Linked DNA regions of Ovis aries. The protein of the gene in region 2 interacts with the protein of the main gene of each other region in a pairwise test. Links are inferred from orthologs where the notes say so. Each region holds a gene or a part of one and is shown on either strand. Other genes may lie near its edges. The genes, in order: BCL2L12 and GSK3B.

Evidence for each region.
Region 1: the proteins of GSK3B (region 2) and BCL2L12 interact in a two-hybrid assay, tested with the Homo sapiens proteins (2 studies listed by BioGRID and IntAct). The link is inferred for Ovis aries from reciprocal best matches to the Homo sapiens genes GSK3B and BCL2L12.

The regions. Positions count from the first base shown.
Region 1 is NC_056067.1:55,803,378-55,805,858, reverse strand, and holds part of BCL2L12 (bcl-2-like protein 12), read right to left. Parts: intron 2,424-2,481; coding exon 2,337-2,423; intron 2,251-2,336; coding exon 2,159-2,250; intron 978-2,158; coding exon 699-977; coding exon of another isoform or gene 660-698; exon of another isoform or gene 1-659.
Region 2 is NC_056054.1:185,712,658-185,717,176, forward strand, and holds the start of GSK3B (glycogen synthase kinase-3 beta), read right to left. Parts: upstream 2,924-4,519; coding exon 2,836-2,923; intron 1-2,835. UniProt on the Homo sapiens protein: Constitutively active protein kinase that acts as a negative regulator in the hormonal control of glucose homeostasis, Wnt signaling and regulation of transcription factors and microtubules, by phosphorylating and inactivating glycogen synthase (GYS1 or GYS2), EIF2B, CTNNB1/beta-catenin, APC, AXIN1, DPYSL2/CRMP2, JUN, NFATC1/NFATC, MAPT/TAU and MACF1.

The DNA.
Region 1 (2,481 bases), on a different chromosome or scaffold from region 2:
GCTTCTGCCAGTCCGTGAAGCCACGGCAGCCTGGCAGGGATGAGGCTGGTAAATGAGATGGTGTCCACTGAGCAGCCAGAAACTGATGTTCAAGGAGACGGGGACAGCAGCCAAAGGTCATTTAGTCCGTACACAGGAGCCCCATCCAGCTCTGAGCCCAGCGCTGGATTTAAAGCAGTGAGCAAGCATGTTAAGGTGGAAGGGTGTGGGGGTCACTGCGACTTTAAATGAAGACCAGGGAAGGCCTCACTGGGGGTGATACCTGAGCAAGTGGGCAGAGGAAGCAAGGAAGGGGGATATTGGGGAAAAGGCATTCCCGCTGGCAGCGCTGCACAGTCAGTCATCCCACAAAGACCAAGTACCTACAAGGATGATTCCATTTTAATCCTCACAATAACCCTTTGAGGTAGGTATTAAGAGTTCTCCTGCCTTTACAGATGAGGAAATTTGTTTCTGACATAACTTTTTGTGTATACCAGAGTGGTTAAAGCTGCGTAGGGCATCTGCAGTTATCAAGACAGTGCCTGGTGTACAGGAGGTGCTCAATAAACACAGAAGGACAAACGGTGGAAGCGGGGTCCCGTGATGCCTGAAAGGAAGGTTAAGACCCCACCCCCGTCCCCCCACCCCACCCCCAATACACACACATACAACGACAATTAGATAAAGAGAAGCCCAGAGAGGCTTTGGCGGCTCACCCAGCCCCCGTGGGCCTGGATCCAGGGCGCGAAGCTGTGCACATGCTCTACACTGAGTCCGGCCAACGTGCCCCCCAGCCCCGCCACTCGCCGACTCAGTTCCATAGCCAGGGCCAGGCGGGCCAGGGGTTCCGGGGAAGGTGGCGGAGGCCCAGGGCACGGTAATGTTTGACTTGGGCGAGGGCTGATCTCTCTGCTAGAGAAGAGCTCCACTAGGCGGCTGAAGGAACTGGCTGAGAGGCGCGCCAGTTTGCGCTGCAAGGCTGGGTCTGCAGCCAGCTGTGGGACAGGGAGGGGAAGAGCTAGGGTAAGTAAGCCTCAGTCACACCCTCGTAGCTAGCCAATAGGAAGCCGGAGGCGTGGCTTCAAGCGAGTTCTAGGTATAATTGGCGCCCTAGGCCTCGCCCCTATCCGGCACATCCCCCAATCACAAACTAGACTATAAGGTCTCAGCCAAGCTACTACCAGAAAGATGGCCGAAAACTGGCAAAGCCAAGCCATGCCCCTGCCAAGGCCCCAACAGCCAATCAGGGCCAAGCCCTATACTAGCTGTGTTCTAGCTTGCTAATGGAGAAGGCAATGGCACCCCACTCCAGTACTCTTGCCTGGAAAATCGCATGGATGGAGGAGCCTGGAAGGCTGCAGTCCATGGGGTCGCTAAGAGTCGTACACGACTGAGCGACTTCACTTTCACTTTGCACTTTCATGCATTGGAGAAGGAAATGGCAACCCGCTCCAGTGTTCTTATCTGGAGAATCCCAGGGACGGGGGAGCCTGGCGGGCTGCCGTCTATGGGGTGCACAGAGTCGAACACGACTGAAGTGACTTAGCAGCAGCTTGCTAATATTCTAGCGACACTTCTGTGGGCTTCCCAGAGACCCAGAGACCAAGCCAGTGTCTACAGCAACCTTGCCTTCTACCATGCAATGAGTAAGACGGTACACTTTGCCCAAGCTCCTGAGCCAACTAGATTCCAGGACAGAGCCACAAGCCACACTCCCTCTGGCAGTCCATTTCTCCTACATTCTAAGTCATAGCCCTATATAGTCAATCAGGTCTTCAGATTTTAAATAGCTGACTTTGGGTTACAGTCCATTGGGTTGCAAAGAGTCAGACTCGACTTAGCAACTAAACAGCATCAGCAGCTTCAAACCACACCTCCCACCCTTTCCCACACCATACATTCCCTTACTTCCTCACCTGGTCCCAATCTCTTTCTTAGACGGTGTTTCTGGTGGCCATAGTCCTTTGCCTATAAGCCACTCCCCTCTAGCGATCAATGAAAGGCAGTAGTTCAAGGTATTGCCCTGGCTTACCCTTCACTCACTCTTTCACTGAAGCCTTGTCCCACTGTTCCCTGTCTGACCATCCAGTGAGAATGCAGATCCAGCTTCAGGTCCCAGGGTGGAACCATGCTGCAATTCCTATCCTAGCTAAAGGGGGAACAGACCACCCATCACCTTCTGGTTGATGACTTCTGCCTCCTCTTCCAGCAAGGCCACCAGTTTTCGCAGCAGGGCTTCCTTCTCTGTGGGTGCGGGACCCTGTAATTCTGGAGGCAGAAGAGAATTTGGCTGGGGGCAGAACCCTGGTGACCCTTCTACCTGCATCTTTCTCCAGCGTCCCTCTGCACCTCACCTGGACTAGGTGGGGATCTCAGTTGCTCTTGGACCAGCTGTTCCAGCCGCTGGGCCACCAGGGCATAGAAATCTGGGGTAGCAGGGCCTGGAATGAAAAGAGCCAATGATGAGTCTTTAGGAACTTTGGACCCAACATCGGGAAC
Region 2 (4,519 bases):
TTTTAAAAAGTGAACTCATCTATCCTCCCATCTCAGCACTTTCTCAACTTTCCCATTACAATCAACAATATAACTTGGCGGTCAAATCTTCCAGACCAGTAACATCAGAATTTATTTTTAACTCCTGACTCCTTCCCAAATACTCCCCCCTTCAATCCAATCCAAAGTCCTACCAGTTCATTCACGCTGTCTCTCAAATGTGTTCTTTTCATCCGATTTTCAATTTTGCTTTATATTGCCTCACTATTCACAACATACTCTACTACTCCCTAAAAGGGCTCTGACGTCTGGTTTCTAATTCATCAACTTTGCTGCCCAAACCATCTTCAAATATTTTGTTCATCAACCTATAGTAAATTCCAAACTCTCTTGAATCTCAACCATAATCATAAGCCCCCTCTGCTTTCCATCAGTTAACATATTTCTCAAATTCCATCTCTTCTTATTTTCCTATTTAGGCCCCTTTTATTCAGATTTACTAACCTGCTTTATAAATACAAAAATACAAAAGTCACCATCTCTGTGCCTCTGTCCATTCTGTCCACCTAGAATCCTTTATGCTTCTCAATATAAGTTACTGCCTCCTTTAACACCTGCCTTAAAACATACCTCTGTAAGAAGTCTTCTCTCCAAGCCATCTACCTCATGCCTTTATTTTTTGTTCCTCTGAACAAAGTATTCTATTTGCATTTATAATCTTGCAGTCATCATATTACTGTTTTCACGTTTTGTCCCATAATCTGCCTCAAAAACTGATAAGCTTTTCAAGGCAAGGACTATAATTTCTTATCGCTTAAACAGGGGTCCCTTAGAACACCAGCATTCCAACAAAGGCTTTCTTCCAAAATGTATTTAAAGTTACGGTTGTCAAAAACACATAGTCAACACTGAACTCCAATCTTTTAAATGTTAAGCTGACCTATATGGTAACAGAAAAGTCAACATTTTCACCTGCACTTTGCAAGAGTTACTCCATCTTCAGTCAACATCCACAAAGGATTCATAGAAAATCCTGTGAACTAAATGAAAAGTCCCCAAATTTAATATTATTAGGTATCCCATTCTGCTCTCTGAATAAACTAATTACCTAAAATTGATTTCAAGTGGTCTTTAAACCAAGATGAAAAACATCCTAACACTCCAGTACCACAAGAGGCTCTTAAGGAGCTATTATAAGATTTGCTTCATCATAGCTGAAAATTACCCCAGAATTTTAAAATATTCCTCTCAAATGACCCCATGAAGTGCTTAGAAAGCTTGACCATTCCCTGAAAGATGCATCATCAGCTTCCCTCTTCACATACTCTGCATTCTGAACTAGCTAGTCACCAAAAAAAAAATTTAACTCTCAAAAATAATCTCCCATTCAGCTATTACCTTAGACTACCCTGTTTCAGACAAGTTCCAAAAGCCACCATGAACTGAAATCCTGAGTTCAAGTAAGAGTGTTCATTTTATAATCAATTTCACATAACAGCATATACCTTTTTAAAAAAAATCTCAATTCAATTCTCTCCTTCTTCTAAGCAGTAAAAGTTTTTCTTTGCCCTCATTCATGCTCCTTTCTGAAGGAATAAGGAAACTATAATAGATATTTTTGTCGAATTCTTTAAGTATATTTAAATAAACTGACATTAAATATCACATAAACATATCCATAACTAGAGATACGTTAAAACACTGGATACTTAGTATACCAAACACTCAAAATAGACTTTTTGAGCACAAATCTGGGAAGAGAGTATAGACGTCTAGCAACAGCCTTGAACAAAGCCCAAATACCTCTATTAAATCTGGGACCACAACCTTCTGCAAAACCTATGATGATAAAGTCTAAATCCATATTCTTCTAACTTCATAGCCTTATCTGAATTCGAAAGGAAAACAATGCGAGAGTATTGTAAGCAGTCCTAAGAAGGAACATCTGAACTCTAGATCATTTAGCAAGTACTGAAAGCAATGGCACCCCAAAGCTGAACTTTAATGATGAGTCAGTGACAATTAACATTCAACTTACTATTTAGCAACATGACAATATAAGCCCCATTCAAAACTCGGACCTACTTTCAAGTTACCTTTTGATTAAACATTAACTCTATAGTGGTAGATTGGCAATGTCAAAACGGTAAGGTTAAGAGATAACATATTAAACCGCGTATCCAATTTAGAACAATGCATGTTGAGATACTACTGCTACTGAGTATCTATCAGCGGTACCCGTCCCTTCTAAAGAGACAAATCAAAGCTCGCCTTCCAACCGAAATGTGGTTACTTAGCGAGTTCATCTCTGGATTAAGAACAAACACTTTGTATAGTCACACAAGTAAGAAAGAAATGTTAGGAGACGGTGACATTCACCTCTTCCATTAAGTATACAAAACTATGGTAACCCTCGAGACCTGAGCGAACTAAACTATCCCTCATTCCAAAAGACACACTCTGGAAAAGCACATAATGGTTTATGAGTCTTGTCCTTCGCTTTAATCAAAAGGATGAGCAAGTAAACACTTCCATCACTATTTTAAGGTGGAAACACTCAACCACTTAATAAAGCTGACTATCAATTGCTAGAAAACTGTAAGAAAAGAACTAAGTTTCAGACAGAATCATCTAAATAAAAATCCCATTCCCCCGATTCAAGGTTAATGAGACCGGAGAAGGGATATGGGAGGAGGAAAAAAGGAAGCTGCCTCATCCTTGACTGAAGACAGGTTTTTGCCCTTTCCCATTACCTCTGTTTTATCAGCAGGTCTCGTATTTTAAGATCCTGGTATTTCAAAGTCTCTTATTCAAAGGGGAGGTGGAGAAGGGGTGTAAAATAAAATCAATACTCACTGCTAACTTTCATGCTGCCAAAAGCTGAAGGCTGCTGCACTGGCTTGCAGCTCTCCGCAAAGGAGGTGGTTCTGGGCCGCCCTGACATGATCACTCTTTTACCGAATCACCTTTTTTCCTTCCTTCCTCCTTTTCTTCCTTTTGTTTTATGTTGGGGTGTTAGGTTAATGATAAATGCAGCATTAAGTTTTCCCACAGGAAAAAGACTTCGTCCTCTTGCCTTTTCACTCCTTTTGTACAGCTATTTAAAAAAGCGAGCGATGTATTTCTCCTTGAAGACAGATCAGTACGGATATTTAACATATAGACGATCCGGGGCTGGGAAAAAATTACAATTCTTTCCCCTCCTTTTCCTTGGAGGGCAGAAATGGGTGGGAGATCCTAAAAAATATATATCACGTGAAACGGGGACAAATACTGGATTGAAAATAAGTACTCTGAATATTATATTTTCCTCGGGGATTTTTTTTCCGAGTCAATGAAGAAGGGAAGCGGCGGAAGGATCACGAGTCTCACGCTTGAAAAGAAGGGGGGATGGGAAGGAGGGAGGGAGAGGGAGGGGTGGCTCGGAGATGCGTCGGGAAACGCTGCGGCTCCGGCAGCGGCAAGGATCCGGCGGGCTGACGGTGGGGGCCCGGCGAACTGGAAGGCGGCGGAGTCGCGAGTCAGTCAGAGTCGGGCGGTGGCGGCGGCTCTTCCCCTCATTGCGCCAGGAGCAGCTGCAGGCGGCGGCTGGATCCAGCGGCCATGGCGGCGGCGGCGGCGGAGGCAGCTCCCTTCAGACCCCAGGCAGCGGCTCCTCGACTGCTCCCCATACGCCGGGGACATGGGAACCCGGCAACCGCTTCCGTCCCTCGGGGGCCCCCTCCCCCGTCCAAGGCACCAGCGCGGCCGCCCTCCCGCCCCTCGCTTCTGCACAGTCCCGCTCAGGAAGTGTCCGCGCTTTGCCCCCAGTCCGGAGCCCTGTCAGCGGCTGCGGGGTCGGCTCCTCCTCGCTTCCTTCCTTCCTTCCTTTGTCACTCGGCCCGGGCGGCGGCGGCGGCGGCGGCAGCAGCAGCAGCAGCAGCAGCAGCACGAGCCCGCATTCGCCCGGGTCGGGGGCTGCTCTCTGTGAGGAGTGCCGTCTGCGCAGCCGCCTAGCTCTTCCCCACTCCCCCTCCCCCCTCCTACTCGTCCTCCGCCTCCTTCCTCCCCCACCCAGCCTTACACCGCCCAGCGCCCCGCCGCCCGCGTAAGAGGCGTCTGGGAATCGCCGGCCGAGCGGGGCGTCCGCCCCCTTCGACAGGGGAGCCGAAACCCGAGCGGAACCAATCACGGATGTCGTTTGTTTGCGGATCCTCCCGGAAAAAGCCGATCGACCTGAAGAGCCAATCAGAAAGTGTCGCTGGAAATTCACGCCCAAGGACGGAAAATGCCGAAGATAGCCGACCGAGGAAAAGGTGGGTTCGCCTTGTTCTGTGGCTGGCTGGAGGAGAAATTCGGCAGTGACCAATCAGAGTCGCTGGCCCTCAGGAAAAGCTTGAAGAGTTAAGGACAGTGAAGCCCGGAGTCGCTGGCGAAACCGCACGGCTGGGCGCCGTGGCCGCTTTGTAATTGGCCGAAACTCCGCTGGGAGTGCAGCACCCTCGGTGATTGGTGAAGGGAATGGGGCTTCCGAGGACAGTCTGGCCAGTCAGGACGCCTC